Linked DNA regions of Nothobranchius furzeri. The protein of the gene in region 2 interacts with the protein of the main gene of each other region in a pairwise test. Links are inferred from orthologs where the notes say so. Each region holds a gene or a part of one and is shown on either strand. Other genes may lie near its edges.

Evidence for each region. The genes of interacting proteins can lie anywhere in the genome.
Region 1: the proteins of bysl (region 2) and kifc3 interact in binary tests that used the Homo sapiens proteins (3 or more experiments, as listed by UniProt). The link is inferred for Nothobranchius furzeri from reciprocal best matches to the Homo sapiens genes BYSL and KIFC3.
Region 3: the proteins of bysl (region 2) and lonrf1 interact in binary tests that used the Homo sapiens proteins (3 or more experiments, as listed by UniProt). The two-hybrid records come from large-scale screens. The link is inferred for Nothobranchius furzeri from reciprocal best matches to the Homo sapiens genes BYSL and LONRF1.
Region 4: the proteins of bysl (region 2) and ltv1 interact in binary tests that used the Homo sapiens proteins (3 or more experiments, as listed by UniProt). The two-hybrid records come from large-scale screens. The link is inferred for Nothobranchius furzeri from reciprocal best matches to the Homo sapiens genes BYSL and LTV1.

Annotation. Positions count from the first base shown.
Region 1 is NC_091749.1:65,918,858-65,924,982, reverse strand, and holds the start of kifc3 (kinesin-like protein KIFC3), read right to left. Parts: upstream 4,144-6,125; 5' UTR 4,009-4,143; coding exon 3,817-4,008; intron 1-3,816. UniProt on the Homo sapiens protein: Minus-end microtubule-dependent motor protein. Involved in apically targeted transport. Required for zonula adherens maintenance.
Region 2 is NC_091743.1:46,641,848-46,647,484, forward strand, and holds part of bysl (bystin), read right to left. Parts: intron 4,274-5,637; coding exon 4,113-4,273; intron 1-4,112. UniProt on the Homo sapiens protein: Required for processing of 20S pre-rRNA precursor and biogenesis of 40S ribosomal subunits. May be required for trophinin-dependent regulation of cell adhesion during implantation of human embryos.
Region 3 is NC_091746.1:77,572,972-77,579,257, reverse strand, and holds the start of lonrf1 (LON peptidase N-terminal domain and RING finger protein 1), read left to right. Parts: upstream 1-2,143; 5' UTR 2,144-2,276; coding exon 2,277-2,886; intron 2,887-6,286.
Region 4 is NC_091747.1:66,352,068-66,358,382, forward strand, and holds the start of ltv1 (protein LTV1 homolog), read left to right. Parts: upstream 1-2,172; 5' UTR 2,173-2,330; coding exon 2,331-2,333; intron 2,334-2,688; coding exon 2,689-2,820; intron 2,821-2,896; coding exon 2,897-3,082; intron 3,083-3,366; coding exon 3,367-3,454; intron 3,455-4,930; coding exon 4,931-5,057; intron 5,058-5,205; coding exon 5,206-5,434; intron 5,435-5,772; coding exon 5,773-5,900; intron 5,901-6,315. UniProt on the Homo sapiens protein: Essential for ribosome biogenesis.

The DNA.
Region 1 (6,125 bases), on a different chromosome or scaffold from region 2:
ACTGGCTCCTCTTGATGTGGAGGAGCAGCAGGTCCCTCCCGAATGACCGAGCTTCTCACCCTATCTCTATGGGAGAGCCCAGCCATTCTTCGGAGAAAACTCATTACGGCCGCTTGTATCCGCGATCTCGTTCTTTCGGTGATTACCCAAAGCTCATGACCATAGGTGAGGGTAGAAACGTAGATCGACCTGTAAATCGAGAGCTTCGCCTTCTGACTGAGCTCTCTCTTCACCACGACAGACCGGTACAACGCCCGCATCACTGCAGATGCAGCACCAATCCACCTATCGATCTCACGCTCCAGTTTTCCCTCACTTGTGAACAAGACCCCGAGATACTTAAACTCCTCCTCTTGGGGCAGGACCTCATCCCTGACCCGGAGAAGGCGTTCTACCCTTTTCCGAATCAAGACCATGGTCTCAGATTTAGAGGAGCTGATTCTCATCCCAGCTGCTTCACACTCGGCTGCGAACCACTCCAGCGAAAGCTGAAGATCACGTTCTAATGAAACCAACAGGACCACATCATCTGCGAAAAGCAGAGACCTGATCCCCAGGCCACCAAAATGGATGCCCTCCACACCTTGGCTGTGCCTAGAAATCCTGTCAATAAAGGTTATGAACAGAACTGGTGACAAAGGGCAGCCTTGGCGGAGTCCAACTCTCACTGGGAACGAGCCCGACTTACTGCTGGCAATGCGGACCAAGCTCTGACACCGGTCGTACAGGGACCTAACAGCCCATATCAGAGGGCCTGGTACCCCATACTCCCGGAGTACCCACCACAAGGCCCCCCGAGGGACGTGGCCAAACGCCTTCTCCAAATCCACAAAACACACGTAGACTGGTTGGGCAAATCCCCACGCACCCTCCAGGATCCCCCTAAGGGTATAGAAATGGTCCAGTGTTCCACGGCCAGGACGAAAACTACATTGCTCCGTCTGAATCTGAGGTTCAACAATCCGACGGACCCTCCTCTCCAGAACCCCTGAATAGACCTTACCAGGAAGGCTCAGGAGTGTGATCCCCCTAAAGTTGGAACACACCCTGCGGTCCCCCTTTATAAATAAGGGGACCACCACCCCGGTCTGCCAGTCCAGTGGGACTGACCCTGATGTCCACGCGATATTGCAGAGCCGCGTCAGCTAACACAGCCCCACAACATCCAGAGCCTAAAGGAACTCCGGGCGGATCTCATCCACCCCTGGAGCCTTGCCACAGAGGAGCTTTTTAACCACCTCAGTGACCTCAGGACCAGAGATTTGAGAGGCCAACCCAAAGTCCTCAAACTCTGCTTCCTCACTGGAAGACGTTTCAGTGGGATTGAGGAGGTCTTCGAAGTATTCTGCCCACTGATCCACAACGTCCTGAGTCAACACATTCTCACACCCAAGGCGTCAAAATATGACGCGTGTGATCAGGCCTCAATATATGACGATTCGGGATGCCCTAGCGCGTCAGGAGACGATGATCAGGGACACGCTAGGACACGTGGCTCTGCTGGCGTCACTGTTTGACGCGGGCGGTCATACGGACATTATTCAACTATTTAACCTTCCCCTCACCCCAATCCTAACCCTAACCTTAAGGTCCATAAACTGTGACCTTAAGGTTAGGATTGGGGTGAGGGGAAGGTTAAGTAGTTCACAAGTAGTTCTAATGTCCGTCTCAGCACCAGCGTTGGATACCGAGCTCTGGGACGCTGCGTCAGCAGTTTCTCCCTGATCGTCGTCTCCTGACGCGCTGGGGCGTCCTGAATCGTCATATATTGAGGCTTGGTCACACGCGTCATATTTTGACACCTTGGATGTGAGAATGTGTTGCCTGAGTAGAGGTCAGCAGCACACCGTCCCCACTATAGATATTGTTGGTAGCGCACTGCTTCTCCCCCCAAGGCGCCGGATGGTGGACCACAATCTCATCGAAGCCGTATGGAAGTCTTGCTCCATGATCTCACCAAACTCCTCCCATGTCTGGGTTTTTGCCTTGGCGACCACCCGAGCTGCGTTCCGCTTGGACTGCCGGTACCCGTCAGCTGCCTCTGGAGTCCCACAGGCCAAAAAGACCTGATAGGACTCTTTCTTCAGCTTGACATCATCCCTAACCGCCAGTGTCCACCAGCGGATTCGGGGGTTTCCACCACGACAGGCACCGACGATCCTGCGACCACAGCTCTGGTCGGCCGCCTCAACAATGGAGGTATGGAACAGAGTCCATTCAGACTCAATGTCCCCCGCCTCCCCCGGAACATTTTGGAAGTTCTGTCGGAGGTGGGAATTGAAGCTCCTTCTGACAGGAGACTCTGCCAGACGTTCCCAGCAAACCCTCGTGATGCGTTTGGACCTGCCTGCTCTGACCGGCATCCTCCCCCACCAACTGAGCCAACTCACTACCAGGTAGTGGTCAGTTGACAGCTCCACCCCTCTCTTCACCCGAGTGTCCAAGACATGCGGCCGCAGGTCAGATGAAACAACAACAAAGTCGATCATCGAGCTGCGGCCTAAGGTATCCTGTTGCCAAGAGCACATATGGACACCTTTATGTCTGAACATGGTGTTCATTATGGACAATCCATGACTGGCACAGAAGTCCAATAACAAAACACCACTCAAATTCAGATCGGGGGGCCGTTCCTCCCAACCACACCTCTTCAGGTCTCACTGTCGTTGCCCACATGAGCGTTTAAGTCCCCCAGCAAAACGAGGGCGTCACCGGAGCGAGCGCTTTCCAGCACCCCCTCCAAGGTCTCCAAAAAGGGTGGGTAGTCTGAACTGTAGATTGGTTCATAAGCACAGACCACAGTCAGAACCCGTCCCCCCACACGTAGGCGGAGGGAGGCTATCCTCTCATTCACAGGGGTAAACCTCAATGTACAGGCACCAAGATGGGGGGGCAACTAGTATGCCCACCCCTGCTCTGCGCCTCTCAGTGGGAGCAACTCCAGTGTGGTAGAAAGTCCAACCCCTCTCAAGGAAAATGGTTCCAGAGCCAGAGCCATGCGCTGAGGTGAGTCCGACTATATCTAGTTGGAACCTCTCAACCTCACACACCAACTCAGGCTCCTTCCCCACCAAAGAGCTTCTGTAGCCGAGGATCAGACCGACAAGGTCCCCGCCCTCGACTACCACCCGTCACACACTGCACCCGACCCCTTTGGCCCATATCTATTAAACCTAAAATGTTTTTTGAACCAGGCTGTAAACATGTTTATTTCTGCTGTGAAATTAGCATTTTTTACATGGGAGTCAACGGGAACTTGCTCTGCTCTGGTGCCAGCCCCTAGCAGATGAGGGTGGAACTGCAATTTTTGCCACTCCTTGTTGGCTTCAAAAAATTCAGACTAAAATGGCCCTTCGTGCAGAACCCAGCACAGAACCAGCTGCCTAGATCACTTGTTCTGGAAACCAGAAAAAATAAAATTAAAACAGCTAAAAATATACTCACACATGCGCAAACTTGCTCAACAAAAAGACAAGGCTACGCAGACCGATTAGGCATGATTGATGCAGCTCTTGAATTTGGACACTTATGGTGAAGTGTCCGGCCAAAGGACACAACTACGATCGAAACGCAGTTGGGGTTTGAACCGGCTACAGGGCGAACTCCTAACCCTTGAGCCACCGTCACTAAGTGGAGAACTCAGCTGTGAACTGGGACCAGCTCACTTCAAACTGGCCAGACTGAGAAGTAAGGCTGCACAAGGGTTCATGGAAGTTCTGAGGACAAAGACCATTTTCTGTCTAACACCCCCTTTTCTATCCTGATTTGCAGAAATGTTTAAAATCTCAGAATATTTCCAGACCTTGACCTCCTCACCTCAACTGGCCTCCTGCTGGATGAGGAGACACATCGTACACGGACCCCCTTCCTCTTCCTCACAGCCTTCACGCCACTTTGTCCTGGTCCATTAGCATCACCTCCATGCTCTGAGCTACCTTTGAGTTGGTTGTTGCTCCTCCTGAGGAGGCTGTAGAGTGTGAGCAAAACCAGCATGGAGAGGACCAACATGTTCCTGTCCCACAGGTGAGCTCAGCCTGGGACAGGATCCAGGTGAGTGAGGCACACAGGTGTCCCGTAATCCTGTCGCTTTCTCATTTATTCCTCAGCTGTCTCACCTCTGTCCTGGTCCCGTCCCTACCCTGCCAACGCTGTACTTCCACAGAACTGATAAGAACACATGAACCTTGTCCTCCTCTCTGTTATTGTTGTCTAATCCACAGGTAATCCTCCATTAAAACTTTAATTCTTTATTTTTACCTCAAGCTCGGAATGACTGTTGCCTGTGATGATGTCAGGAGAGGTGCATTCAGGCTTCAAGTCCTTCGAGTCATTTTGAATTTGGCTTCAACAGTTTCCCCCACTGTTGTTTAACAAGGCGGACAAAAGCCTAAATATTTTACACGTATACTTGATTTACCATAACTCTGCAAAGGTTTCAGCCATCAGAAAAATTCAAGCGTTCTTTTTAAAAGAGAAGTCGCACTTTTAAGTACACATTACAATAAAATGCATTACGCTGTTGCAGGAAGCCGGCTAATCAGAATGTCTCACATGCACAAGAGGGTAAGTGAGGGGCAGAAAATGAGCGAAACACACCCACAGCTAGGGCTGGGCAATAAATTGAAAATGTATCATCATCGAAATTTCTGACTCTTATCGAGATCATTGTCCCCATGTCAATAAATCTGATAATAAAAAAATGAAAAGATGTGTGCAGGTTGGCAACATTCATGTCCACCTCGAGTCTCGTAAAAATGTGACTCAACGTAATACATGTGACAGCCCCATCTAGTGGACAACTTTTGTTTCTACACATACCTGTAGTTAACGTCCATTTATCGCCATTATGGTGAACTCCTCAATATATCGTGATATTGATTTTAGGCCGTATCGCCCAGCCCTACCCACAGCTATAAATATCATTGGCCAAATTGCACCCTTAAAAAATAAATAAAATTGTTTTCATTCCCTAATGCGCTGCTTTGTCAGCTCAAGTGTCTGACTGCTGCAACCAAGTGGGTCTCTATTGCCTCCATTACTGGGTCTCACATGGCGTAGCGTCCACGTCACCAAATGCATTACTCTGTTGACTCGGCGTCAAAATCCCCAAACTCTGTTCCATCTACGGTTGTTGTAATCACTCTAGTCATGACAAGCACAAATGTTTTTTTTCGTGTCCCAAAAGTAGTGAGCCACAAAAAACCCAATTTAAAAAATCTTACTGAAAGAGGACGACAGAAGTGGACCTCCGGCTAAAGCCTGATTCATGCTTCTCCGTCAGCTCCAAAAGGGAGAGACACGCACGCACGGGCGGAGATGTTTTGCCCTCATACTTCTCCGTCTCCTGGGGAGTGTTGCAAAGCAATTCCCCACCAGGACAACAGAGGGCGTAGCGCTGTTCTGTGGTATCTTGTCATGTATCCGGTCCAAGATAGTGTGTTTATATTGTTTTTTTTTTGTATGTAAGAGACTTTTTAGCACAGACAAATTTGTCTCTCATCCTCCTCCACCTCTTCATGCACTCGCCACCTCTAAACCCACGTTTCCTGTCATTTCCGTTCACAAATAAATCGCTTGCTATGTATCTTTTCACTCCTCCAGTCACGGGGGAATTAAAAATTCATGTTTTTAGAGTTTTTTCGCGAGGTATTCTTCAAGCTGCTCCGTGTCTGCCGCTAGTTATCCTCGGCTCTCTTTATGTTTTTGAGGGCGCAATGGCGGCGGTGTAGATGACAGCTGCGTCCTGACCAATCACAAGCTTGCGTTATCCGTTTCGATGGACGGATGTTTAGAAAAGAGAGCTCAACTCCATCCGTCCTTGCGGAGCTCTCCAGCAAGCCCGCAAGGACGGACAATGGCGTTGCGTGTCTCCGCACTGACGCAGACGGAGAAGCATGAATCAGGCTTAAGAACAAGGGGCGCTGAAAGGTTATGGGTCGACTAAATGCCATAAAAATGGCAGGAAACAGTTTTGATACGGTTTTCATGTGTCCCAACTTATTTGTACCACAAATATCTTTCAGAGTGATAATGCTAGCAGGTAGCTTAGCTTTGTAACGTGGTGTTTATACCTCATTTAAATCAAACAAATGTATAATCAATTTGGATTTAAAAAGTTATTTACA
Region 2 (5,637 bases):
TAACATACACGCATGTCTAGTTATCCTTTAAGATCTGTGTCAAATGTTTCAGTCAGTAGGATGGAAGCTGTAGTGGGTGAGAACTGGAGTTAGTTTATCATCTACCACCATTTATTAGTCTGAACTGTGGATGGAAAAACACCCATCACTAGTTCCCAGTATGATGGATCTTAGAGCAACACTGCCACCTAGTGTTTAAGGCTCAAACTGAAGTTATTTTGAATTCAGGTCATGGATTGTTAAAGTTAAAAGTTAAAGTCCCATTAGATGTCACACACACAGGTGTGTGTGCGAAATTTGTTCTCCGCATTTGACCCATCCCCTGGGGGAGCTGCAGACACAGCTGCACTCTGGAACTATTTGGTGGTTTAACCCCCCAATCCAACCCCTTAATGCTGAGTGTCAAGCAGGGAGGCATTGGGTCCCATTTTTTCAAAGTCTTTGGTATGACCCGACCAGGAATCGAACCCCTGATCTCCCAGTCTCAGGGCGGACACTCTACCACTAGGCCACTGAGAAAGGGTAGAATAAAAGGGTAGAGAACAGGAGAATGTTCCCTTCAAACTGCAGGGATTTGTGTTTTCAAACAAATGAAATCAAAAGAATGTTTTTAAACATCTGATTCCACATATAAAGCTTAATTTGACCTATTAATTAACACTTTTATCCAGCCAGAAAAATGGTGTCACTCCTTCAACAGACAGCAGCTAATCCTCCATTAGCATCCTCAGTATAAAAATAATAAATCATGTACAAAAGTCACAACTGTGTCAGGTCCCCTGCAGCCTGATATTTCTGCTTTGAAACATAAGACACAAAATCCTCTCATTCATCTTCTTCACACGCTTGTTTCTTCCAAAGGTCACATGAAACTGGATCCTGGTCCAGTATTCGTAAAACCAAACATGGTGCTTTCTGTTTACAGGCCTGGCAGCTGTGTGCCAAAGTTGGAAAATATAAATAAAAGCACTGATGGATTTGAAAGAATCTTTTCAAAAGCTTTTGTATCTCGATGTTTTCACTGAGAATTTGAGGGGGCGGTTTGGATTTTTCTCCTGCTGTAAAGATGATCTCACAAACCACGTGACTTTTTTTTTCAACTTTATTTTCATTTATTGAAATTAAAATAAAAATACAAAACTAAATTGCTAAAAGCCAAAATGAAAAAGTGGACGGAAAGAAGAAAAACTTATGTTATCTGCCCCTTTTAACTAAAATAAGGTTCTCGATTTACCGGTCGATCTACGTCCCAATCCTCACCTATGGTCTTGAGCTTTGGTAATGACCGAAAGAACAAGATCGCGAATACAAGCGGCCGAAATGAGTTTCCTCCGTAGGGTGGCCGGGCTCAGCCTTAGAGATAGGGTGAGGAGCTCGGACATTCGGGAGGGACTCGGAGTAGAACCGCTGCTCCTCCGGATCGAAAGGAGTCAGTTGAGGTGGTTTGGGCATCTGGTCAGGATGCCTCCTGGACGCCTCCCTGGGGAGGTGTTTCAGGCATGTCCTGCCGGCAGGAGGCCCTCGGGTCGACCCAGGACACGTTGGAGAGGTTACATCTCCAATCTGGTCCGGGAACGCCTTGGGTTCCTGCCGGAGGAGCTGGTGGAGGAGGCCGGGGAGAGGATGGTCTGGAGCTCCCTAGTTGGGATGCTGCCCCCGTGAACCGGACCCGGATAAGCGGAGGAAGACGACAACGACAATCATATGATTCTTAAAAAATTTGAACAATATAGTTTCTGGACTGGTTGGCCGACACAACCTCAACCCATTAATTGAAAAAAAAAGAGAAAACAAGTTACACAGAAAGAAGCATAAAGTTATATACATATATACTTACATATACACATATGCATACATACACTTGTTCCCTTTTTACCCTTTTTTCTTTCTTTCACCCCCCCAACCCCCCTCCCCTCACGCGTTTATGTAACAGATCTATATAAGTTAATCATTTCATTTTTTATCTCTTTTTTGAAAGTCAATATTGTTTTTGCATTCTTGATTTCAGTATTTAATTTATTCCACATTTTAACTCCATATATGGACACACAATGTTCCTTTATGAGTATCCGATGTCTAGGTATATTAAATAAGTCGTGTCCTTTTAAATCATTTGCTATGTCTTTTTGTAAATCTTTTGATTAATCCTGCAGGTATGTACCCTTTGTTTGCATTATACATAAAATTTTAAAATATTGTAGTCCACCAGATCATAGAATTTTAGTGTTTTTAATTTTTATAAATAATGGATTGGACGGATCTCTGTAGTTGCTCCTTGTGATTATTCTTATTGCTTTTTTCTGTAAGATGTAAATGGAATTTGTGTAAATTTTTTATGTTGTTCCCCAGATTTCAATGCAGTAGTTCAGGTACGGTATGATCAGTGAGTTATATAACAAATATAGGGAATTATTATCAAGTAACCATTTTGCTCTATGTAACAGTGCAATGGTTTTAGATATTTTAGTTTTGACATTGTTTATATGTAGTTTCCAAGACATTTTTTCATCAATGATGACTCCCAGATACTTGACTTCTTTAACTCTTTTAATATTAATCTCATCTATATTTAATAAAATGTCATCATTTGAATGTATGTATTACTAAATATCATAAAACATGATTTATCACTCTTTAATGATAGCTTGTTCCCATCAAACCATAGTTTAATTTTTTTCATCTCCGTTTGTATCACTTCTATCATCTGCTCAACATTATCTCCTGAATAATAAAAAGTTATATCATCTGCAAATAAGGTGCATTTTAATATATTGGATACCTCAACAATGTCATTTATATAAATGATAAATAGTTTAGGGCCCAATACCGACCCTTGTGGTACACCACAAGTAATGTTATTTATATGTGATTTTGTGTTGTTTATTTGAACATATTGCTGCCTATCGGTAAATGGTAAATGGCCTGTATTTGATATAGCGCCTTCTAGAGTCCTGGAACCCCCCAAGGCGCTTTACAACACAATCAGTCATTCACTCATTCACACACACATTCACACGCTGGTGGGGATGAGCTACGGTGTAACCACAGCTGCCCTGGGGCGCACTGACAGAGGCGAGGCTGCCGAGCACTGGCGCCACCAGTCCCTCCGACCTCCATCAGCAGGCAACGTGGGTTAAGTGTCTTGCCCAAGGACACAACGACAGCGACAGACTGAGTGGGGCTCGAACCTGCAACCTTCCGATTACGGGGCGAGCACTTAACTCCTGTGCCACCGTCGATAACTTATCCATTTTAGGGCCATCCCTGTGATGCCATATTTACTAAGTTTTTTAATAAGAATTTTATGATCCACTGTATCGAATGCTTTTGTTAAATCAATAAAGATACTTATGAGATGAGTTTTTTGTCAATGGCTTCCGATATTTCTTCTGTTAATTCCATTAATGCCATGGATGTTGAATGATTTGTTCTAAAACCATACTAACTGTCATTTAATATCTCTTCTTTGATCAGGAATCGGTCCAGCCTAGCACCAGGCATGTCAACTCTATTATTTTTAAGTCCAACAGGTGGCGGCCCACCACTTTGAAGTTGCAAGTGCAATATTCTGGCCACAGGAGCGGTGGCGTCTGGGTGACTTCTCATTAACCCCGTAAACGGTCATTTTAGCACATGCTGGCTCAAGAAAATTATTTAAAAATATGAAAAAGTTGAACAATTTCCCTTTAAAGACCATTCAGGGTGTGTCCTCTACTTCATCAAAAATGTGGTGAGGAATAATTTATTCAGGAATGCACTGGTGTTGATACTGGCATCGGATTATCAGGCCGATACCACGTGCATGTACTCCCACTCATAAACTCCGACACTACAGGACACAATACCAGTGCCTCATCTGTATTTGCCTCATGAAAATAAACAGTTTATAAGTACATTTTATGGAGTATATTGACATTTATAACTACTTGTATTGGTACTTCATATCAGCGAGTACTCAAATAAAAGTACTTTTCTCAAACTCAGTCTGAAAGAATCGCTGATTTCACTGTCATGATTTAGCTCAAATATGTTCAGTTAAAAGGGAACACATCAAATTCAGCAAAAAATTTAAATGTGCTGCAGATGCATTAGATTAATAGTATGAGTCCTACCTTTAAACCACGCTCCTGGTTTGAACAAAGCCTTCTTCATGGCGCTGTAAAGATGGAAGTTTAGTCGTTTGTATTCTGCAATGTCGTCCCGCACTCGAGGCAGCAGCACCAAGTTATAAAACCTCTGAGCCATTCGCTCTTTCAGATTGGAGGAGAAGATTCTGTGTAAGAAATACAAAAAAAATGCCAAAATTTACTGAGCCAGGATCCTCTGGAGGTTTCTTCCTGTTAAAAGGGAGTTTTCCTCTCCACTCTGGCTAAATGCTTGCTTAGTATGAGGATTGCTTGATGCGATTTGCTGAGTTCCTTATATAGGAAACTTTTTACTGATTGGCTTACTGAACTGGCCTGTATTGGAATGTTTATTATGTGAAGTGCCTCGAGATGACTCTTGTCGTGATTTGGCGCTATATAAATAAACTTGAATTGAAATTTAATTGAATTAAATTACTGCCATGTTAATAACCCAAATGATCTAAACTCAGCAGTAATGTGTAGGAAATCCTTAGCTTAAAGACACAATCTGCAACATTTACACTTTAAAATAATATTTTTGAAAGCTTTTGGTGGCATTCTATGATATGTTCATTTTGGAGCTGTGATAGTGCTATGGGGTCCCACGTCTGTTTACTGCACTGTACAGGTTTTGACCGGCTTTCCACCCCCAGAAGTACTGACTGTGTGTTGTTTTATGGCAGTATCACGTCCATAGACCTGAATACGTAGATGCCCCATTGGGCGCTGGAGAGCGTTAACAGTGCCGCCGCCATATTGGATGGGTCTCCTCACTCTTCGAAATCAACTACAACAGAGTGAGCAACTATGCCCGTTTTTGTGCAGCCTACGGTTACACATGGCATACAATTGAAAACTGATCATGTGGGATTCGTATACTTTTCTAGCCTACCTATTTATTTTGTTTGGTTATATTTATATTTTAATTATGATGTCATACCTCTTGTCTTATTATGTGAAAAAGCTTGATAAAATGTGTTTTTTTAAATGGGTAAACATCTTCAGTAGAAATGAATGCAATGGAGACGAATGGCGGCCGGCCACTACGACAGCTCCAGTAGGCAGCACCAGTCCAAAGGACATCTACAAATGTCTGTGGTAGACCCACGGTTTAGAGACTTGAGCAATGGCAAATCCACCAAAGAAAGCTAGAAATACCTTATCAGAGGAATCTAGGAAAAGAAAAAGAGAACGCGATAGAGCAAGAGCAAAGAGCAGAGTTAACATCGGGCTGACTTTTCCTTGCTGGAGAGATCTTCTTGAAAGAATGGCATGTACTACGGACTCTGACCTAGCCGTGCTGCTAATGGATAGGTAAGTAATAAATTATTCCACCGGGATTATTGTGTTTTGTCTGGCATGAAGTTGTTCTACAGTCCTGATAAAAACGTTATTCAATGCTGCTTAATGTGTTTGTTTGGGCACGCGAGTTGGAAAACAGCCAGTAAACATGCCTCTTATGCAGACAAGAGATTTGATTTCATGACAGTGACGTTACGCAGCAAGCCTT
Region 3 (6,286 bases), on a different chromosome or scaffold from region 2:
CAGGGATTAGATATTCTGGATTTAAGAGGCCGTTGTCTAAGAGTGATCATGGATTTACAGATCGATACGCTGACTCGAGCTCATTTGATATGATTCACACCTGGAAAACATTTAAAACTTTCACTGGGCTAAAACAAAGCCTGTTACATACTTGACCAGCTACAACAACCACTCTGCACTCTCCAACTGAAGGTCACAACCTCAACCTGTTGTTGCCTTTAGATTAAAAATAAAATACGAATGCAACCAAAACCCTGACAGCAGACTGACAAATGTGTTTACTTTTGCTCTTCACTTTGCAATCCAGATGTATCCATTTACACACACATACTCACACACTGTTTACTGCACATTCCCACACAGTCAAAGACACCTGGGAACATGTAGGACTCGTCGCAGCTGGAAGGCGCTGCAGCATGTGGACCATGACCTGATTTGTAGTTGAATGCTCTAAATCAGAAAAGATGAGAGCTGTTTATGATCAGACACGAGGAACGAGAGCACAGATGAATCTTTTGTGGCTAACACTGCAGCTTTTGCCTCATGTCCTCCTCTTTCACATCAAATTATTTTATAAATCTGATGTATTAGATGATGTATATTTTTTTAATACCACATCAGCTTTGCTTTCATCGCATTGGCTGAAAGAGCTCTCATTTAATACAGGTGATAAATTAAAGTATCGCCTAAAGCCATCAATCATTCAAAGTATAGATAAAATATTTGAGTTATAAAGGAAAATAAATAAACAAAGAATAACAGCAACCAAGCAATGAGGCATGGAGGAATTTTGTCCGACAGTTTTTTTTTTTACTGAATTGAGTTATTTCAGCCTTAGTCGTGCTGGTTTTCCAGCAGGTTTAAGTTCAAAGATCAGATATTTGTATTTATTTATTTATTTTTAATGTATTTATTTCATTGAAAATAAAAACAAATAAAACGTATAAACAATAAGATATACACAACAACAAAAAATCAAATTTGAATGAAAAGGAGCATGAATGAAGACAAACATCTCATAATTTATGCCCCCTTTTCCAGAATCTATTTACATACAATACAATATATAATTTCCATTTGTCAGATACACATAAAGATTCATTTTAAACTTTTTCCTGCTCTTAATTCCAGAGCGATCATGATCATTGATTTAATTTATATTTTCATAATTATTTAGTACACTCAATTTGGTACATTTTTTGAATATATTAAATGACAGTTTTTTCTATTTCCCTTTTAAGGTTATTCTCCTAAAGCGAGCTATTGCTTAAGCATCATAAAAAATATCTGTGGCTCATTTTATAATGGAGAATGTGTCTTCATCTTGAATCTGGTTTTCTTTTGCAAATCATAATGCATTTCCCATTTACGGACCACATATAACCCATCTGCTGTCTGAGGAGCATTCATTGTAGATTGTAGATCACTCTGATTTTATGGGAGTTTCTATATCTGGTAAGAGATCTGTTTTTACCGCACCTATAATAAATTATTTGACAGAATATTGAAAGAAGCTTAAATGAAAAAAGATAATATTTTAAATTTGATTATATTTCTTAATACTATCAGCATTAGGCGGAGATGAAGTACAGTTATATTATTTAATATGTATTATTACTAGTTGCTATTTTTTGTCCTGTGTTATGTTAAAGAACCTGAACATTATGAAACTTGCACTCAATTTATTCAACTTCTTTGCAGTGGTTTAACTGTGGCGTGTGAGTGTGTTAATAAATAGATGGCAAAACAAGAGATGCTCCAACAGAACTAGAAAGTGGTGAAAAGTTGCACAAGATAAAAAAAATTACATAACCCAAATGTTACATAATTCATAGAAAAATAAAGCACAAAAGGTGTTCCAAAATCAAGTTATAAAATCTTGTATGACTGTTATTTATTTTTCAGACTTGTTTCTGACATGCTTTGCATCCAGCTTAACAGATATGTAGCAGAAAGCAGATTTTCTTTTTATTTTATTGATAATGAATTAGGATCTGTGAGGGCGCCTAAATCAAGCGCTGTTTGTGGACTTTAATGCGCATCTTCCGCAGTTATGAAACTTTGCAGCGCAGGTTTTGTAACCGAAACGTCCTGACCAATCACGAGACGCGTTTGTGATCACGTGACCAGGTGTTCTTTTTTTTTTTACATAACAATCGAGTATCTTTGACAAAACCCGTCAGACTAGAGGACCGGGGCACTACAGAGATGTATAAACATATCGATAGAAGAAAAGCTGGACGTAAATAGCGTCTCATAAACATTTCAATGTCATAATGTCGCTAAAACAGTATGTGGCGGACACACCGGAGGAGAGGAGCGCCTTCTTTATCGGCGCTGACGGGGACAATAATGTCTCTGAAGCGGAGGACGGCCACCGTGAACTTATACTTCAGAAAGGCAACGCTTTAGCATCCGAGGACTGCCTAAAGGAGGCTATTGACTGGTTCTCCGCGGCGATGCGCTACGGCCCTGTGCGTCCGGAGCAGCTAAGCACTTTTGTGGATTGTATCCTCCGCAACTTCAAGAGGAAAGCGGCCGGGTCAGATGCCTCCACGGGCCGGAGTCGAGACTCCGAGTCGGGAGGTGTGGACGCGTTGTTGGACTGTCCCAGCTGTCTCTGCTTCCTGGACGAGCCTGTCACCCTAGCCTGTGGACACTCGTACTGTAGAAGGTGTTTACGTAGACGGCTCGTCCTCAAATGTAAGCTGTGCGGCGAAGCCGTCGCCGGCAAGGAGAAAGTGAACGTAACCCTATGTGGACTTTTAGAGAAATGGTTTCCCGGCGAGCTGAAAGAGTGGAAAAAATTACGCGAAGTGGATTCTCTGTGTAAAAGAAAACGCTACAGAGAAGCTGTGTCGCTAGCTAGCGAAGTTCTGCACTCAGGTGAGTGTCATCATCTCTCATCACACCGGTGTTGAACAGAAAAAGGTGTGTCTGCGGCGCACCGTCAGCTAGCAACAGGAACATTTAGGAGGTAAAGCTGAGTTGTAACTACTAGAACAGGAGAATGTTTGGTTCAGTAAAATCTCTGGTGTCCGTGGGCCTAGAGGGAGAAGTTCAGCGAGTTCTTCTGACCAATATTTTGAAAACCATGTGTTGTGACTGTCAGCCTCCTGCATGGCCCGGCTTACGAAATTCGACCGTCTGCGCATGCGCACCCAAGTTGCATAAGTCAGGGTCGTGACACTTTTGTAGGTTTTGTAACTTGCAAAACCGGAAGGGCATTTTATGTTGTAATTTTCCAGCTGTTGCGGACCACGCTTTCATAAATACGGAGCATACCTGAATTAAAAGTCCAGTTAGCATGAAACCCTAGTCCACACAAACGCTTCTGTAACATTATGTAATGGTAAGAATAATCCAGGCCCAGTTTGTGTCTGGGTACAGTTCAAAACATCTAGTGGGAGATATATTTTTCTAGAAAACATGACTGAAGTGAAACTATTAATTTACAAAATACAGTACATTCAAAAATATGACTGCTCAGCTCTGAAAAGTAACTTGTCAAGCAAGAGAATAAAAATACAAGTTTTGATGTATTTTTAGATCAATGCAATCTAATTCAAAAATTTGCATTGGAAAAAAAAGTTTGTTTTCTTAATTAATCTAAGTAACAAACAGCTGTGCACAAACAAGCACTTGTATTTAATGCTGCTCTGATCATTTTTGCATTATAGTGTGACATAAAGATTGAGATTTGTTTACTGGCAGGGGTGAAAATCCCTCATCATTGTTGGGGGAGGGGGGGGGGGCATTAGACAGTAAACATTTCAGGAGTAATTCCTGAGGGGGGCATTAAAAAAAGCTTTTTTTCCCCATGTGCTGATGTGTCTTAAATGTCTCATATAGTATTAAATAATAGCTGTTGTTCTTTATTAGTCCATATATAGTCCAGAACTGTCTACAGGTTTTTGGATGCTCTACCAATAATACTAGGAGTAGTAATACTAGGAAAGGAAGATGTCAGTTGGGTGTCTGAGTGCTGCTGCTGGTAGAAGGCTGCTCATCATGACCTGCTGTGTCCCTGTCCCCTGTGCAGTCATATGATGCTCTGCTTGGTCCTTCCACCAGTGACCCTGATTCTGAACAGTCTGCCTCCTAAAATAGACAAGTTGTTTTCCAAGCTCAAACCCGCAACTACACAAAACACACATCATTAGTTTAAGTAGTCTAAAGACAGAATTCTCCTTATTTCATGACACGAACCAAAATCTCAAACTCACTTCAGGCTGTGTGTCTCTGCTTGACTGGCTCCATATAGTTTGATCCAGTGGAGTGCCAAATTAGTGGCATGAATAACACTGTAATAACATCGTAATAACCCTATGTTAGTTCTCAGATGTGTATCCCTCAATACCTTTTTAGTCAGGTGGACTCTCGTTCACTGGTCTGTGATATAGTAATACCATTAAATAAATAAAGGGATTGCAGCGCAATGGAAGGAGAACTGTGTCAGAGAAAGAGAAACAAAGTCAGAATAGGAGAGACAGAGTCAGAGAGAGGTGTCTGTTCGGACTAGAACTCTCTCCCGCCGGATCAGGCTGTACACTCTGTCCCCCCTTCACTCCCTCCACTATGGGAGGTGTAACCCTACAGAGGGAAGAAAGAAAGGAGAAGAGTTGGAATGGGAACCATCTTTTCACAAGTGAAAAAGAATGGGTACCATCTAGTGTTCAAAGGATTGTGAATCACGTTTGTTTTTCGACATTCTGGGTAAATTGTGGCGTCAGGATTGGGGTATTCTGGTAAGTCAATATCCTGGAATTGTAAAGAGCCCGTTCTTCCGAAGGCACTGGCTAGTGCTAATGATACCATTATTAAACATATCCAAAACATACCATTTGTTTATATTGATATTAATAACAAATTGCCTTAATATTATTCAAATCGTTCAACTTACTTGGCATTTTGGTGAACTGAAAAATGACCTGATGTCTTTAATTTGTCGTTTCTCTGCCATTTTGACCTGACTAGAAGCTGCCAGACCATTGGACAATAACAAGAACACAGGTTTTAGATTTAGAGGAGGTTCAGTACCCAGCTGATAATGTTTATTTGGCCTACATTTAGCTTTTCCTGCTGTAAAAGAACACTATTTTTGCATGAATGTGTACGTAACAAGTCCAGAACACTGTGAACTTACTAAAAAGATGTTTGACTTAAAAATTGATATAATTAGAGGAAAATATGGAGTGGAAACTACCAGTCGGAACGTTACAAAAGGAATATCTGTTGAACGGAATATCTAAGTCAAAGGTAAAGTCAAAGGTTTAAAAAAAAAGACAAAATCTGAAATAGAAAATTAGATTGTAAGTAATAATATCCAACATGAATGTAAAAATCTGGACAATATCTGACTACAGAAATGTAAAATCAAAGTGAAACAAGTTAGTCTAATATTTGTGACATTAATGAGAGGATGATGGCAGTATGTCAGCTGTCTATCCTCTCTTGCTGTCTGTTCTTTATATACATATCTGTCTTTCTCTTTTTGTTCTCTCTCCTTTCTCTTTAACCCAGCGTTAATATAAATACACCATGCTGCTTAAGCTAACAATATGTTAAGCGTGCCAGACTTCACACAAAGGAGCTGAGCTGTAGCTTTATGTGTATTGTGTTGTGCTTGTTAAACAAGTGTAGTGACCAATAACCTTTTTTTTTTCCCATTAAAAGCACGACTGAATGCGTAAAAAAATTCACCTGGCAACTATTTACATGTCGCTCTGCTCTTCTCTGCACCTCACAGCGCGCTCTGGGTGCGAGCAGCAGCAGCCCCTCTCATTGGAGAAAACAGATTAGACGGAACCACTGAGGATTAGGCGGTGTGTGTGTGTGTGTGTGTGTGTGTGTGTGTGTAAATATTTCACTTCTTATAACTCTTTGTGTTTTTAAGTAGCACAACTTGTATTGTGCGTTCAACAAAAATGAACATATTATTAAAACAAAAAACATTTGGGAGTTTTTTGGGGGGGGGGCATTTATCTCAGAAGGGGACATGTCCCCACTGTCCCCCCCCCCCAGGATTTTTGCCTATGTTTACTGGTGAAAATTCGTAATTAAAAGGACAACACATCAGAAGTCACACATGACATCATCACATCAGATTCATGGTTTTCTCCACGTTTAAAGAGCAAGTCACCCCCAAATCAACTTTTTTCTTTTTTTTTTTCTTTTTTTTTACCGTGTCCTGTCTGGCTGTGAAGCAAGCAGAATTGATGTCTGAATGCTGGTGACACCTTACAGATTTATTCTCAGGTGGAGCATCAAAGCGTTTGCTTTTAAT
Region 4 (6,315 bases), on a different chromosome or scaffold from region 2:
AGGCGCATGCTCTGCATACTGGGGCCAGTGTAGAAGAGTCTGCTGTGTGGAACAAGATAAAAATGAAAAAAAGATGAGAGTTGCTGACTAAAGTAAAATGAAATGTCTGACAGATATTAAAGTTTGAGATTGCACCAATATAGTAGCCTAGTGAACTAGACCAAATTCTTGCTTTGCAAAGAACGGTCTAGGCACGCTCCATTGGAACCTCCGCAGCTCCTACCAGGACTCTGGCTGGCCAATCACAGCTCTCTAGAGGGGTTTCAAACACAAAAAGAGCTGTGATTGGTCCATAATGGTGGGCCAATCATAGTGCTCTATCTGCTTAGTGAATGAATCACAGAGCTTTATCCGCTTTGTGGGCCAATCAGGGCACTCTATATGCCTGGTGGGTGGGATGATGCAACAGAGTGAAACAAGAGTATGTCACATTCATTGTCCAGTAGCATGCGGAGATCATTTGAAAGACAACGGTAGAACCCGCCCCACAACCGAGAGCTGTCTATGGAGCATGGCCAGACTAAATAATACATTTATTTAGTCTGGCTTGCCAGGCTAGCAATATGGTACATTTACCTCCAATTGCAATTATCTTTAAAAATGTATGTAGGCTATATCAGAATCAGAAATAATTTTATTGCCAGCGCTCCAGCGAACCAGAGCATAGGAACTTGACTCCACAGAACAGCCTGACCAAGATTACACACACACACACACACACACACACATATAGACAAAACAGATACAGTCCTGAATGGACAGCTGAGAGAGACAGATGACATTCCACACCTTCCAGGAATCGAGCATATATCCCGCTGCGTGTGTCCCGTGAGGGCAAGTGGGAGCCCCCTCCTCCGTTCTCATCGTAGAAAAAATCTTATCAATCACGTTGAATGACCAATTAATTAAATCCATTTCTGAAAAATAGTGATCTCCAGAGGAAATGCAGAGAAGCGCTCTGTAGTCAGACGGGACAAAAAGAGCCTTGGGAGAAAAAGATAAGGGAGCAAAGCAGAAGCGACTGTGCTCTGTGAGTGCCAGGAGAAGAAAAAATATATATGATATTGTATTTATGATTTTTTAAAATCTAAAATAAGCCCACACACCAAGATATAGATCTATACTGTATATAGAATTTCGATATTACAGACGATGCTGCACTGTATACACTGTACACTGATATTACTCGTTACACCCTCCTGAATCAACGCAGGCGTCATGCAACTTTAGAACACTAACGTTGAGTCCGTACCCTCAAGCAGCAAGGGCAGCTGTAGACCATGATAAAAGATCATCTTTAATTTTCGTACTTACCTTTAAGTCTGTAATTAGGCGCCATTCTTCCTATTTTACGGCGCTCTTGTTCAATCGCCGGAAGCTCTCCGTTGAGGAGAAAAGCATGCATTTCTGTGTATTCGGAGATATTACCCGTCAAAAGCAAACATCTGTATTTATTTTCCAAATGTTTCTGACATCTGTGCTTTTTGTGGTTGTAAGGGAGAAAATATTGAACATGTTTTTGTTGATTGCTTTCATGTAACTTTGTTTTGGTTCCATTTACAAAGATTCATTTCCAGAAAGTTAAAAAAATATTTCTTTAAGCAAATATGAAATACTTCTTATTGTTACTAACCCTCATTTATCATCCAATGAAAAATACATAATTAACTTAGTCATTATTTTAGCAAAATATTATTTACATAAAATGATTTTTCAGAAAAGTATCCCCTCCTTCTATAATTTCAGAATTACAGACCTTATGAAATATTGGAACAGCATTGAAAAATTAAAAAAGAAGAACAACAAACTAACAAAGACCATCAACTTATTTCATCATTTCAACTTAGACACAGCAGACCCCTAAGTGTTATGTTTCTACGTTATATATGTTTTCGTCACTATTTTGTTTATTTCTTGTTTTTTTTTTGTTTAATAGTTTCCTAATGTTGCATGTATGTTATTGCTATTGTAAACAACTGTAAAATGTGATCCATGGATATATTGAATGTATTTTCTGAATGTATCGACCACAAGTTAATAAAACCTTTTAAAAAATAAATAAAAAATAAATAAATTTATGTGTATTCGGAGGTTTAAACGTAACGCAGTCTGTAACTGTCGCAAAGTTGGCAAAGAGGAAGTGACGTAAAATTCGCGCATGCGTGTTACGGATCGGGTTTCCGGCACGGGCATCGCCGTCAGCGTGGAAAGACGTTACTTGTGTTTTATGTGAAAGGTCGCTGTCTCTAACAGATACACGGAGGTCGAGTTTTTATAAACATTAAATCAGTGTCAGCTGCTGAAGGAGACGTTTGTGATTCCAGCACAAAATGGTAAGAAGACCTTTTCCTGCTAAGCTAGCCGTGTTAGCTAACAGCAGCTAAGGTGGTGAGCATAACAACAAGTATGTAACAGCTAACGCTCGTTTATATGACTTTAATTCAGCTTTTCTAGATGAGCTGGTGGATGTCGATGACGATCTCAAGCGTGTTTGTTCCTTTTCCCTCCAGAAACATGAATGTTTTGCATAGATTTAGAAAACTTGTTCAGAAAGGAAAAGATGCCTTTTTGTTCACGTCCTCCTGCTCTCATTCAGACAGCAACTCCAGCTGTTATAAGCCATCTTAACTCGGTGGCGTTTATCTGATTTAACATGTTCTAACTAAATGTCGTCTAAATCTGTTCCAGCCTCATCGAAAGAAGAAATCATTCATCGAAAAGAAGAAAGCGGTGACCTTTCACCTGGTCCACAGGAGTCAGAGGGACCCTTTGGCTGCAGATGAAACAGCACCACAGCACGTCCTCCTGCCTGCCACTAAGGTCCAGCTGCAGAGAAAACCTTGTCAGATGTCCCCAAAGACCTGATGTGGTTCTAACAGGACCTTGTGTTTTTCAGGCAGAGGCAGAGAAGAGGCGTGAGGAGCAGAGACAGTTTGGTGTTTTCTTCGATGATGATTATGACTACCTGCAGCACCTGAAGGAGGCGTCGGGCCCCTCAGAGCTGGTCACAGCTGAACCCACGATTCACCGCCGACATGAAGAAGATGAGGAGTGTGAAAAGATTACAGACAAGAATGTTCCTGTGAGTCTCTGTTTAGCCTTACTTCAGCCCTGAAGGTCACGTGTAGGACGTTGTAGTTTAGAGAACGGCAGGTAGTGACCCAGTCGTGTATCTCTGACCATTCTGTTTCTTCCTAACCTTCATAAGAGCTTTATCAGAGGAGTTTCACGTTTTACATTTATTTTGGTTTTATTAACATTGATCAGCTGAGAGGGAGCTGTCAGCCATGTTTATTTACACACCTGAGTGATGCTGGCCGGTGTGATACAAGGACTGATCTAATCCTTGTTGTGCTTTCTGACCAGGAAGCTTCTATCCACCTGCCCTCTTCAGTGTTCGCCTCAGAGTTCGAGGAAGAGGTGGGACTTCTGAACAAAGCTGCACCTGTTTCAGGTAGAGCACCTCAGATCAGGGATGCTTTGATCTGGTCATGTGATCTGATTTCTGATCAGGATTCAAACAATCGGGTGGAAAAGATCAAGCATGAGATTTTCAAACAACGGCTTAGTTTTTATGTTAACAAGTTGCACTACATCAATATTCATGGTTTCATAGACCACACTGACACTGTAACGTCACACAGTTTATGGCAGGTAGGAGCTTGGACACCGTAACATGCACCTTCATCTCCTCACGCTTAGACTACTGTAACTCTCTTTTCACGTGTCTGAGCAGAACCTCCCTGAACCGTCTACAGTAATCCCTCGTTTATCGCGGTAGATGCGTTCCAGACCTGGCCGCGATAGGTGAAAATCCGCGAAGTAGGGACTCCCAGCATGCCCCTCGCGGGGATTCCCTCCACGTCGCACCTACGTCACAAACCGCGGCTATAAACGGAAGTCGCCTTTCCAGCTCACCACTCAGTCATCGTTTCTTCAGATTCATGATCAGTTTCCAACCTACCGATCAATCCAACGAACTATCAGCTCATAGTAAGTTATCTTACTTACTTCTGGAAAGCCCGGCATTTCCGTGTCACTTCGTTGACGCTCGAACGCTCGGGGGTTTCCTAGAGCAGCCGGCGTTTCACCGACGCTATCACTTCCGCGTCTGTGAAACCACGCTCCCTATTGAATTATCGTATGATCAGATTCTCTTTTTGGGGGTAAAACTCAAGAAAAAAATTTTTTTACTTGTTTTTTTTTTGTTTTATTACAAAAAGTGCATTTTATGATGAAATTGATGAAAAAAAACAAGAATTTCTTGATATTTCGCATAGAAAAATACCGCGAATCAGTGAAAAATACCGCGAATCTGCGAATTCCCCCTGAAAAATGCTCCAAAGAAAAAATCCGCGAAGCAGCGAATCCGCGATGAACGAACCGCGAAGTAGCGAGGGATTACTGTACAGGTGGTTCAGAACGCCTGTGCTCGGCTTCTGACCAAGTCCTCCAAACACACCCACATCACCCCGCTTCTCCTCCAGCTTCACTGGCTGCCAGTCAACTTCAGGGTTCATTTCAAGATCCTGGTTCTGGTCTATAGGGCCTTACATGGACAAGCACCATCTTACATTGGTGATCTTCTTAGTCCCTACACCCCCAGCAGGTCCCTGAGGTCCAGTGATCAAAGCTTACTGGTTGTGCAGCACCAGGCTAAAGGTCAAAGGTGACAGATCATCTGCTGCTGTGGCCCCCAGACTCTGGACCTCTCTCCCCCTGAGCCTGAGATCAGTGGACTCAGTGGTCTCCTTTAAACTCACCTGTTCAGGCTTGGTGGGACCTTCATCTCCCTCTCCTGGTTCTGCTCTTGTTCCTTTGAGAGTTCCTGAAAACGCCTCATCTGGCTGGGAGACGCATGCACGTCGGGAAGTTCCTGTAAATTTACCCTGATGCTCCGGTGGTGGAAACAGCTGATGTGTTGTTTCAGGACCCCGACTGGACATGGACCCAGATATCGTGGCAGCTCTGGATGAAGACTTTGACTTCAGCAACCCTGACAACATGCTAGAGGACGACTTCATCATCAGAGCCAACTGTGCAGCCGGAGGCTGGGTGTGAGTAAGTCCTAATGGTTCCGGGTTTAGCTGGTACCTGTGGTCTGAGTGGGAGAAGAAGACCACCACACATCTGCTGACTGACATGTGATGCTGTTATTGATCCTTAAATGTGTGTAAAATTCTGTCTGTGTCAAACATGTGACAGGGAAGGACGTGACGACGACGACGATGATGATGATGAGTGGGAGGACACGGACGATGGAGACTTTGACTCAGAAGGAGGATTTTCAGGAGATGAACACGCTGAAGGAGGTGGTGGAGAGTTGCTGTTCATGGACGAGGAGACGAAGAGTCGCTTCACAGAGTACTCCCTGTCTTCGTCTGTGATGAGGAGGAACCAGCAGCTCACCCTGCTGGACGAGCGCTTTGAAAAGGTGATGGTCCACCCAGAGTCAGTCTCTAGCACCAGTCCTAGAGGACAGGGCTGCGTAGAGCTCCCTTCACCGCTGCGCCAAGCCCGTGCACACATCACTAACGGTGTGGAAAACCCTTCTCTAAACACCTCAGGCTGCAGCCTACAACCTTACGACCCCTGCTTCACTGTTCATGTGTGACAATTTAGGAATTTCAGCCTGAATAGGGAGCCTAAGCCACGCCCATCTACTTCTGGACCACGGGTCCCAGAAGAACAAAAATGAATATAACGAATACAAACCTCAGATCACGTCACAGGTCTCTGCTAATGAACCCCACTTCCTGCTGTATGTTTCAGTTTTACCAGCAGTTTGACGATGACGAGATTGGCGCTCTGGACAACGCTGAGCTGGAAGGTTTCATCGCTCCAGACAGCGAGCGCTTGGAGGTGGTCATCAGAGATTACTTCACACAGAAAGCTAGAGTGTGAGATGCATTTCCATCCTTTCAGCTGGCTTTAGTTTTGGTTAGTGATGGGACTTAGGCCTCTTCGAAGGTGCAATTCATTCAGTGTGTGTGTGTGTGTGTGTGTAGGTGTGTGTGTGTGTGTGTGTGTGTGTGTGTGTGTCGAGAGGGGGGGGGGGGGGGGAATGATTCAACAGTTCTCTACAAGGACTCTGATCTCATGGTGCTTTCACATCTGGGCCAGCACGGACTGGACCTGGACTGTGTGTGTGTGTGTGTGTGTGTGTGTGTGTGTGTGTGTGTGTGTGTGTGTGTGTGTGTGTGTGTGTGTGTGCGTGCGTGCTTCTCACAGCAGTGAGGAGAGAGAGCGTCAGTCAGAGGCAACGTTGACTTCTCAGCATCGGGAATGATGATGAATGGTGCATGCGGGAAGCTG